3 linked regions of the Ovis aries genome follow. The protein of the gene in region 3 purifies or fractionates together with the protein of the main gene of each other region. This does not show direct contact. Links are inferred from orthologs where the notes say so. Each region holds a gene or a part of one and is shown on either strand. Other genes may lie near its edges.

Region 1 (3,568 bases), on a different chromosome or scaffold from region 3:
CTCGTGATAAAAAGCCTCGTGTGGAGGACTGTTTCTCTGCACATTTGCGCAGAGCTCAGGGAGGTTTGAAGGCCAAGCCTCTGTTCTTTGGGGCCTGAGGAGCAGCACTGCCCAAGGGCCTGGCCCCGTGGACAGAAGGAAGGGGCTGTAGATACCTGATAGACGTGGTTCAGCTTGAAGTGCTTCAGCAACAGCAGCAGGACGGCAGAAATGGCCTTAACGATGACCTCTTTGTGGCGGTTCACATCCACTCCCAGCTTCATGCTCTGCAGCACTGTGGTGCTAGAAGCACAACCCCGGGTGAGGCCCCAGCATGTGCAGCACCTCCTGCCTGGCGCTCCCAGGAGACAGGACTCCTGAGCCTTCTCGGGGCAGAGCTCCCACCTAACCCTCCACCCTACGGACATCTCAGAGGTTAGGCCTGGCTCCTCCCACCCACCTCCCAAGCAATCTAGCTCAGTACACCTGACTTCTTCCTTCTGATGCCCCAAACATATTCTTGGCCTATTTCCCTGCTTTTCCTCCAAAACTGAACTTCTCATCTCAAGATCTTCCTGAGGCTTCTGCCATCATATGTACTTGTGTTTCTCAGAGCATGTTCTGTTGGAATACCAGCATATTGAGATGGCTCTTGTTATGGGGAAAAGGGGTTCAGAGTCAAATAAATTTAGGAAGCATTTACTTAAATCAGTTTCTTAAGTTTGGAGTTAAGTTCTTAATTAAGGAGTTAACTATAAATCTTTATAAGAGGAGATTTAATATTTGACTCTGGAATCCTTTTTCCAAGGACCATCAGATGCCCTGGCATTCTCTAACGTCCCCTTTGGTGTTAGCCAACCCGCCTACTCCCTCACTGGCTGTCACCACTAGACTCAAGTGGCCAGCCCACCAGGGAGTTAGGCTCAGAGCTGGGCAGTCCTGGCAAGCAGGCAGGAGATCAGGTGCCCAGGTCCTTCTCAAAGTAGAACGTGATCTGAGTTTGTACTCTCAGATCAAAAACATGAGGTCAGGGCCTCAGGAAGGAAGAACCCCTGGAGATTTCACTATTACCCTGGGACGTTCAAAAATATTTTTCATGCCAGTTCACTGGTGAATAGTAAAGAATCTACACCCAGCTCCAATGGCTGATTTTTGTGCAGAAGCTAAAACTGTATGTCCTGAACGTCCTAAGCACATAGCTTTCAAGGGAGCACTTGGGGAAATGTCAGACACAGCCCTATTCATTTAACAGAGGAGGAAGAGGAAGTGACGTCTCCAATTCACTCAGTTGCAGAGTTTACACTAGAATCCAGGCCAATCAGATGAAAGTGTCCCCACAAGCAGTAAAACTAATTATTTTACCCAGTACATTTTCTTTCTTCTAAACCAAGAATACCCTAAACTTAATCTGCAGAGAAGCTGAGCTAATGTAACAGCAGCAGCAGCAACAACAAAACAAAGAACCACCACCACCCAGCAACACGTCCCCTTTCTGTACATCCTCAACTCTCAAGACTTGATACTCACGGCATCTCCTCAGGCAGGACGTCAGCTAGGATGTTGATTGAGTCTGTTTTGGCCTTCGAGGTGGGAGCTGCAGCCAGCAGGATCTTCAGTAGCGCTATCTGGCAAGGAGCAGACATTCACACAGCATGCTGAGAGGGCCCCAGGCAGCATAAACTCCTGAGAGGCGGTGCTTTTAGAGGTGCTTAGGGGGCAAAAGGAGGGGCTCAAGGACACCAGTGGCATGCTCTCAAGGCCTGTTGTGGGGCGGTGACCACATGGCAGGCAGAGCTCTCAGGAGGTGCGCACTCACCATGTACTGTGGCAGGCTGGGGAGCAAGCCTTGGTAGAGAGTTTCTGCAGGGACCTGTTCAACTTCCTCTTCTCCCTTTCAACACAATGCATATAAGGGGCACTGATACAAAGCCTGGTCCTGACAATGCTCTCCTGAGCCAGCCTGCTAGCTGGCTGGAGGAGAATCTCTAAGTATGGACGTAAACGACAATGCTAATAATGATCACAAACTTTTAATAACAAAATGTGCCAGGTACTTCACTTGTAAAGACACAATGAATCCTTACTACAACTCTATGAAGAAAGTACTATTGTTATTTCCATTTAACAGGCTAGGAAGGGAAAGCAGAAGGAGATCGAGTACCTTGCCTAAGTCACCATCCACCAAGGGGTGGCGCTGGGATTGAGAGGTAGGTGGCGGGCCCAGAGTCTGTGCTCTTACCCCTGCACCCGACACGCAGCAGCCCTGCAGCGGGAGCCAGACTGGGAGCTATGTGAGGGCGGGCCAGGATGCTCTGCAGCCTAGGCCTATACAGTGCTGGGAACGGCTGGGATCCGGTGAGCTGAGGAAGGCCCCCAACTCACCCCCGAGAGAGGAGAGCGGAGGTACTCCTCCTCCATCTGTGCCTGGACCTCTGCAATCGATGTGTACTTGTGCTGCAAAGAGAGGGAGAGAGACATTAGGGCAAACACCTCGCATTCTCTGGCCAAATGCCCACACCTGGGAAAGACCCCATGCAATTTTCTTCAAACATCATCTTCTCAAAGAGGGCTAAGTCACCACAGAGATCCTGAACTAAAACCCCAACCCAAAATATTTTTCTAAGTGGGCACCTGTCTCTTAAAACCAGTATAAAGAAAGCACAGAACAGGTTAGGGGGAAACAGGCAAATTAAAGGAGAGGAGGGGACTTGCAGACAGCTACAGCTATAGGAGGAAACGTAAAAGCAGAATCAAGGACTCAAGTACACAGAATCAAGGACTCAAATACTCAAAAAGCCTAGCTGCATGAGGCCCACCTAGTACTACAAATTTCAAAATTATATTTCAAAAATATATGAACACTTATATTGCAGATACACTCTTAGGGAACACCCCTCTTCCTCACTGTGCTGTTTCCTCCCACTGGAGGGACACGTGTGTACCAAACACCCTGGTCTCTCCCCACCGCCGCCCACTCACTCCTCCCCTTCCTGACTGGCCAGCATGGGAGGAGGAACAGGACAGTCTCGCTCAACCTCTTTCTCTTCTCTCTTAAGGAAAAAGAAAAGCCTGTGCACGCTTCTGCTCCTTGCCTAGGCTGAGCAGGGCTCCAGGCCTCTCTGGTCTGGGCAGGCGAGTCTGCCTAACTTTGGAAGGGAGGTGTCAGGACACCTCCTGCAGCTATGCTCCCATATCACTCCATCGGCAACAAGCTGGCATTTGAATCTCCACCTGCCTACTCCTCTAACTCAACTCCCTGAACTTGGGCAAGGAAAACGGAGGCTATGTCCTAGGCCCCTTAAAACGCCAACTGTCAGTTAATAGAATCTTTAATGGGTACCCCAGTAAGTACCCAATAAAAAACGCTCAGTTAAAATAAGTAAAACGCATGAAAAAGTGTTTTCAAGGATACTGCCACTGTCCACCTATTACTCCACCCCTGGTTCCTTCAGGCAGACAGAAGTCTAAAAAAGCTTCTCCCAACAGGATGGTATCACTTTACTCACTTGGGACCAAACTAGGCCAAAAGCATACCTGAAGCCACCTACCTGTTTCAGAGTCTTAATGCTTTCGTGGATTGGCCTGGGCA
Region 2 (3,568 bases), on a different chromosome or scaffold from region 3:
TAGGGCAAATTTCCAAATATGGTATTATTAAGGAGTGTGTGTGTTTTATTGAATTAGTTTCCATCAAGTATATGTTGCTAAAAAAGATGCCCTGTTATTTACAAAATATATATTCCCTCTAAAGGCTATAGCAGAGTAAGACTTGGTTTGATGCTAATGAAACTCACATGTTTACTTTTACTTTTCTTATTTTCACTTGAAGCCTGTGCCTACTGCACTGGCTCAGGTGGATAGAGAAAAGATCTATCAGTGGATCAACGAGCTGTCCAGTCCTGAAACGAGGGAAAATGCTTTGCTGGAGTTAAGTAAGAAGCGAGAATCTGTTCCTGACCTTGCACCCATGCTGTGGCATTCATTTGGTACTATTGCAGCACTTTTACAGGTGGGTGTATATAGCCATGAGTTGCATTTCATTCTAATTATAACAATTGTATCTCTCTGCCTTTGTACAAATGATTTTGAAAACTTTGGTAAGTTTTTTTTTTTTTTTAAGTGTTAACATTTGTAAGAATCATAGAAAAATCTAATAAAATGAAATTCTTGGATCCTACCCAGGAGATTTTATTTATTTAGTCTAAAATGAAAATTCTGTATTTTTAACAAGCAGCTCCCACTCCCAGATGATTTTGATGTAGGTGATGTAAGAACTGCACTTTGAGAAACACAGCTTTAGGAGTACTGTAAAATAATACTGCATAACGAGGTGGAGTGGGGATGGTGGTGGAGAGAGCGGTATAAGAACTAAAAGGTATATTCTGGGTAAAGAAAATGCTAGCGTAAAAATGTAACAGCCATAGGAGTAAAGGTGGGTATTCTTGTATATTAAAGAATAAATAACTAATATTTCATTCTGACTAGAACAGTCATTTCCATGGAATAAATTGATACGATGTAGTCCTAAGAACCAAGATATGATCATCTTTTAAAGTATTGTCCACATCCCTAATAATTAGATTAATATTTAAAATCTGTTGAGTAAATTCATATTCTGTCTGTACTGCATGTACCCAGGAAACTAGTCTTTCTTATGGGAACATTTTCTGTATAAAAATTTTACAGTTAAGATAAATGGAATTGTGTTCAGCAAATCATCACCTTTTGACAGAGAATACATATGTTCTCTGCTGTTTGTACATATCCCCACACATGTACATACTTTCTTATCTCATCCTTTTTGCACTTGCTACATGACGAAACAGAAACTTCTTTATGAGTTAAAGTGGTTGATTTATTGACATTTTCTGGCCAACTGTCTCATCACTACAACCTAAATAGGGTGTTGACAAAGGTGGGAGGAGGGGTGTCCCTCAAGTGAAAGCCTCAACAGATGATGCAGAATATAGGGAAAAGTGTGGGTAACCACAGTTCCCTCCTTAGAAATCTTCCTAGGGATAATATGTTTCAAATAGTCTCAGTCAGGTATATTTGTGATGAAAGGAATATTGTTTATTTCTGCCCCCTCTTTGATGGTTCTGTTCTTATAGGGTATACAAAATTAAAATTGTTGGCCTTCATACCATGGGAATTAAAGTTATTCCGTGCTCATATGGTGTTGATTTCCATTTTTTAGGAAATTGTAAATATTTATCCATCTATCAACCCACCCACCTTGACAGCACACCAGTCTAACAGAGTTTGCAATGCCCTAGCATTACTGCAATGTGTGGCATCACACCCAGAAACCAGGTAAATACTTTGGATGGATGTGAGGGTAGAGGTTTGTATTGAATGTGGTCCTAAACTTCTTCTGAATGATGAGAGGAGGGGCTTGCAGGAGGGTGCACCTGTGTGGGTGTGGATCTTCAGGACTCCTACTTTTTTTTTTCCTGAAGAATTTCTGGTTTCTAATTTCACCAGATTTTGGTGTAGTGGCAATATGGTACTATTTAACATGTTTTTTTTTTTTTAATTGAAGGATAATTGCTTTACAATATTGTGTTGGTTTCTGCCAAACATCAACATGCATCAACCATAGTAACATGTTCTTTTATAATTGATTTTTTAAATTGTGGTAAAATATAAATAACATAAAATATATTATTTGAACCATTTTATTTTATTTTTATTTATTCATTTTTGGCTGTGTTGGGTTTAGTTGCAACATGCAAAATTTTCATTGTGGCTTGCAGGCTTCTCTCTAGTTGTGGCATACAGGCTCAATAGTTGTGGCACATGAGCCCAATTGTCCTGCAGCATGTGGTATCTTAGTTCCCCAACCAGGGATCGAACCCACATCCCCTGCATTACAAGGCAGATTCTTAACCACTGGACCACTAGGGAAGTCCTGATTTTAAGTGTTCAGTTCAGTAGTTTTAAATATATTAATATGGAGAAGGAAATGGCAACCCACTCCAGTACTGTTGCCTGGAAAATCCTATGGACGGAGGAGCCCAATAGGCTAGTCCATGGGGTCTGTAAAAAAAAAACAACACATTAATAATGTGCCACTGTCACCAGCATCCATTTCTGTAATTCTATTCATCCTGTAAAACTGAAACTCTATACCCATTAAATAATAACTTCCCATCCCCCTGTCCCCTAGCTTCTGGTAACCACTGTTCTTCTTTCTGTCTATGATTTTGACTATTCTGAATACCTCATTATAAATGGAGTCATATAGTATTTGCTTTTTTGTGATTGGCTTATTTCACTTAACATAATGTCCTCAAGGTTCACCAGTATATTGGATATGTCAGAATTTCCTTCCTTTTTAAGGCTGAATAATATTCCCTTGTCTCATTTACTTTTTGCCTGTTGGTAGTAAGGAACTTTAAAGGAGTGGCGATCACCTCTCAGGAAAAGTCAGGTATACAGCTACTACTTGCTCCCGAATCCATGGTAGGCATCACTATGCCATGCATGAGGCACAGTGCATGGTATTTAGTAGGAATTCTCACATAGTAAGCCAGATTTGGTTTCAGAACCTTTTTGAACACAGGATTCTAGTCAACGTCTGTCATAAATGAGAATTGATGTGCAAGTTGAGAAATATTTGCCTTACTGCTGTATCTGACAAATTAAGAAAGGGGAGATTCTGTTCAGAAATCTGCTCTGTGGCTTTTATGGCCTTAAGGTGCTTAATAGTCATCTTATTAAAGCCTTTCCTCTCTTTGTCAAGTTTTCCTTATAAAATCTGAGTGCTGGATTGGCACTGACCTTTTGGAACATTAGAAACTTTGCTAAGAAAATTATTTTTAAGTACTTAAGAAAAATAAAAGAGTATTTAGTAAAAATTTTGGGATATTGGCTCTCCTATAAGGTGTAACTGTTACAAATTATATAAAGTAATAGACTGATTGCGTATTAGTTGCTGAACATACTGGCTGCAGATAAAAGTGTTTTTAGGATACTTGGTTTATCTGAAAGCTCTAACAAAGAAGTGTATTTAAGTGTAACAGATAAAACCTTGATAGTGGCTGCTTTATTTTGTTGTCTTGGTTTATAAGGTTTTGTCAGCTTGTACCTGTGAATATTATTAATATTGTTATTCACTCATAAATTAGGTAAGAGAAGACATATAGGAGAATCTCTTGTGCACTTAAGTACATTTTATGACCTATATTTAAAA
Region 3 (4,077 bases):
TAAGTGAGAAAGCGGGGACTTGAACTTAGGAACACTACCCCACACTACTGGGCCAGAAGACAGACGGAGCCTTAAAGAGGTCAAGCGTGCCTGTGGTCACGAAGTGGCAGGTCTACCCGCCTCCCCACCCATGGCTAAGAGATAGTGCCATTCAATCTTTCCTAATACCAGCCTATTACTCTCATCAGCACCTGAAAGCTAAGCCTTATCTTGAAACAAGAGAAGAAAAACAACTTAGACTCTGTGAGGCTGGCTAATAAATGCTGAATATGCTCCTCTCCAATCCCCCTCCCCAGTTTAGAGAAACAGTTTTCTGCTAATTCTCCAGGTTGCCATTACTCGACAGACAAGAACAGAACAAGAGATGACTGAGCCCAGCTGTTATACAGGGGCTCTCTGAGGTGGGGCAGAGGGGACAGGTCCTTCCCTGAGAAAAGTCCAACAGGCCTTCTGCAGTCCTATTTCAAAAGAAGTGGTCCCCTCACTCCCCCCCCAAACCCTGGAGTACTGGGCTGGTGGGGGGCGGGGGGGGGGGAAGAGGGATGCTTTCTTAAAATGCCCGAGGCAGGAAAGACCATAAGCACCGGGAGCAGGTCTAGGGCCTCTCTGAAGGGAAGGAGAGGAGAATAGGGCAGGAGATGATTGAGGAAAGAGGCTAACACTGCTTCAAAAGTAGAGAAGTTAAGAAGGGAAATACCACATCCAAGGTCATAGGGTGTCTGCAGAATTGCTGGAAATCCCAGGCCGAGGATCCAGGCCAAACTAGCAGAAGAGGCTAAAGGAAAAGAGAAGCCCAGGCAGAGCCCCACAAGGTTTAAGCCAAAGATCATGGTTTGGACCCACCTGTTTTTATTATATTTAAGTCACCTCAGCAACAGGAACCTGCAGCGAGAGTTAATCAACAACCAAGGTGGGAAGGCAAGGTGGGGACTCATCCTGTAGATAGTACACTAAGGGGAGCCTGGATTTCCATCTTATACCCCAGCTGGCCTGACTTGAGAATCACAGTTTAAACTGATTAAGACTCTCCCTCCCAAAGCCTTCAGACCCTCTTCCCCTAAACGCACACACACACACACAGAGAAAGAGAGAGAAATTCAATCTTCCATCTCCCTCCTCAGCAACTCATCACCTTATCTGAAGCAAGTCAGGTCTCCTAGCCCAACGTTTCACCAAACAAATTATGACCTGAATGGCAAGAAAAACTGTGTCACCTAGAGAAACCCAATTAACGACATGACTCTGCTCTCTTCAATTCCCCTCTCCCCTCCAGTCATATCCGGGGCACCTGTGTGGCTGACCGCCTTTTCCAGCTACTGGCCACATTCCCTGGCCAACTCAAAAACCAGAAGACATTTCAATAGGGGCCTCCGGAGCACCCAACCCAGAGATGGGAAATCCTGCTCTCCCCAAACACCCTGGCCTGTTGAGAGAGCATGAAGGACACAGGACAAAAACACCCCCTGGGGGAGAGGCTGGAGTCTTCACCTTGAAATCACTCAGTGGCCCCTTAAGCCAGGGCTCCCTGCTGAAGAAAAACGGGTAAATGCTGCTGAAAGCTCCCAAATGAGGACGTGCAAGGGCCCCAGGAGGGACAACGAATAGGTATTTCCAAGAAATTCCTGCTGCAGTTGTTCCCCTCTGATCCCTTTTCTAATGAGCCCCTCCCTGGAGAGATCGCCATCGCCTCCCCCGCCTTCCAGCAAAGCCATGAATACCTAAGCTTTTCCAAACCCGAAGGACCACATGCTGCATGTGTTCGTGTGTGTACAGACCTGTAAACATCCTCTTCCCAGCCCAGGCCAGAGTTTCTGAAGACCAGAAACGCGTCCCCTCCTCCCCCGGTGCACTTGACTTTCCTCCCAACCCCACAGCTCTGCTGCAGAGTTGGTAATGTAATATGCGGGGGACCCTGAGACCGGAAATGCCTGGTGCTGGACTGCTGCACCTGAAATGCGAAGGAAGGCACCCGGGCGGGCGGGAGCCAAGCAGCCGGGTGAGGGCGGCGGTAGGAGGTGTGCGGCCCGAGAGGGGAGGCTGAAGTGCCGGCCGGCGAAGAGATGCAATTCAGGGCTGGGCGAGGAGGAGAGAGGGTGATGAGGGGGAGGCTGGCGAGGCAGTGGCAAAGTCAAAATTCGAGGAGCCGGGAAACAGGAGGCGGGGGAAGAAGACAGAGGAGCAACGAGGGGGAAAGAGGCCCCAAAGGGGATCAGGGGCCAGGAAGGGGCACCACGGTGAAGATACTGCAGGTTCAGGGGAGCTGGAGGGTGAGCCGCAAACACCTGGAAGGAAGGGGTCCGGAAGCTGAGTAAAGGTAGAGGACGAGAGAGGAATGGGGGCGGGGCACCCCAGGGCGGGGACCAAGCTGGCTCCCAGAATCTGCAGCGCGTGGAGAGCGAAGGGGAGCGGAGGGCGGGGGCCAGGGAGAGGGGCGGGGGTCGCCGCGGGGGACCCGGCGCCCGGGGAGCTCGCGAGGCGTGCGGCCACCCGCTCTCCAGCGGCGGGGACGGGAACCGGGCGAGGCTGGGGGGGCGGCGCGCTCACCCGCAGGGCGGACAGGTCGATGTCGTCCAGGCTGCGGGCGGGGGCTGGGTCGCCCATGGCCTCCACCGGGAACGGGGCCCCGGGGCCGCTCACGCTCCGGCTCGGTTATTCCGCTGCCGCCGTCGCCGCTTCTCCCCCATCGGGGGATCCTGGGGGCGGGCTCCACCGCGCCTCCCCCGTAGAACGGGGAGGGGGAGGGCCGGCGGGAGGACCGACCCACCGACTGACAGGAGCTCTCGCCCCAGAGCCTGCAACCCGAGCCTCCCGCCTCTCCTGCGCAGGCGCAGAGTGGCCGCGCACCCGGAGGGTGGAAGAGGGAACGTGACGCGGGCGCGCCGGGTTCCCCCTCCCCCTCGGCGCCGACACCTGCGCGCAGGCGCAGGAGAGGGAGCGAAAGGCGCGCGCGAGGACCGAGGGACCGCGCGAGCCTGGCGTGAAAGAAGTGGGCGGCGGCCGAGGCGGCCGCGGAGCGCGCCCACCAGCTGGCGCGCGTGCGCATACGCGTTTCCTTCCCTTCCCCTGTTTTTTGCCCTTTCTCTCCCCCATTTCCTTCTGAGCTCTCCTTTGACGCCTTTCCTTCCTTTTCCCTCCTCTTTCGTGTGCCCAGCTGCCAATCAAACCACCCACCTCTCTATTTGCGGGGGAAGGGGGGTGGGACCCAACCCCCTCTATTACTAGGGGGGTTGTTATGGTAACTCCCCACGCGAGGGCTGGGTGGCCTCTAGATAGGATGGGCTGTCCACCCACCTAATTGCCATAGCAACAGTGGAGCCGCTGAGGGAGGGGCGTCTTCGTGAGAACTTGGCTGGAGAAACCGTCTGGGGGCTGGGGAGTGGAGGGGGGACTGGCTGCCTCGTGACTGCCCCTTTACCCCTTCCCCGACTGCAGTGGGAAGTGTTGAGGATCCTAAGATCTGAGGATAGGAAATCCTACTGCAGGCCTTTGTCTCTGCACCTCTTGTTCGGCACAACAGAACTGCTTCCACAATTACTAATTGATCACTGGAGCTGTGCGTGGAGGAGGGGTGGCAGGGAGAGGTGGAGGGGAGCAGTAAGAATCTATGTTGACCCCCTTCAAGTCTGGCTTGGGTCACCTTAGGTCTAGGCATGTTGGCGTAGAACCCCCAGCCGTTAGCCTCACTGGAGGCTGAGTAATGCTATATAAAGAGCAAGGAGTCATGTTCTGACACGGACATGCTGTGTGACCTTGAGCAAGTTGCTTTGCTTCTCTGGGCCTTTCTTTGCAAATTTGAAAGAGAAGGCTGCTTGATCTTTGAGATCACTTGTAACAGTGATAGTATTTCTGCAAGACCCCACCTCCAGCCTTAATGTAAACATTACTTTGTTGTTGTTGTCATTGTTTAATCTCAGTAGTGTCCAACTCTTTGCGAACTGGTGGACTGTGGCCTGCCAAGCTCTTCTAACAATGGGATTTCCCAAGCAAGAATACTAGAGTGGGTTGCCATTGTCTTCTCCAGGGGATCTTTCTGTCCCAGGGGTCAAACCTGTGTCTCTTGCATTAGACGGTGAAGAC

The links.
Region 1: the proteins of MINK1 (region 3) and STRIP1 purify together in Homo sapiens (affinity purification with mass spectrometry; 3 studies listed by BioGRID and IntAct, with this or other methods). This does not show direct contact. The link is inferred for Ovis aries from reciprocal best matches to the Homo sapiens genes MINK1 and STRIP1.
Region 2: the proteins of MINK1 (region 3) and CNOT9 purify together in Homo sapiens (affinity purification with mass spectrometry; 3 studies listed by BioGRID and IntAct, with this or other methods). This does not show direct contact. The link is inferred for Ovis aries from reciprocal best matches to the Homo sapiens genes MINK1 and CNOT9.

What each region holds. Positions count from the first base shown.
Region 1 is NC_056054.1:87,356,863-87,360,430, reverse strand, and holds part of STRIP1 (striatin-interacting protein 1), read right to left. Parts: coding exon 3,528-3,568; intron 2,434-3,527; coding exon 2,362-2,433; intron 1,871-2,361; coding exon 1,796-1,870; intron 1,605-1,795; coding exon 1,507-1,604; intron 283-1,506; coding exon 156-282; intron 1-155. UniProt on the Homo sapiens protein: Plays a role in the regulation of cell morphology and cytoskeletal organization. Required in the cortical actin filament dynamics and cell shape. Part of the striatin-interacting phosphatase and kinase (STRIPAK) complexes.
Region 2 is NC_056055.1:220,558,400-220,561,967, forward strand, and holds part of CNOT9 (CCR4-NOT transcription complex subunit 9), read left to right. Parts: intron 1-202; coding exon 203-382; intron 383-1,570; coding exon 1,571-1,686; intron 1,687-3,568. UniProt on the Homo sapiens protein: Component of the CCR4-NOT complex which is one of the major cellular mRNA deadenylases and is linked to various cellular processes including bulk mRNA degradation, miRNA-mediated repression, translational repression during translational initiation and general transcription regulation.
Region 3 is NC_056064.1:26,411,864-26,415,940, forward strand, and holds the start of MINK1 (misshapen-like kinase 1), read right to left. Parts: upstream 2,835-4,077; 5' UTR 2,602-2,834; coding exon 2,545-2,601; intron 1-2,544. UniProt on the Homo sapiens protein: Serine/threonine kinase which acts as a negative regulator of Ras-related Rap2-mediated signal transduction to control neuronal structure and AMPA receptor trafficking.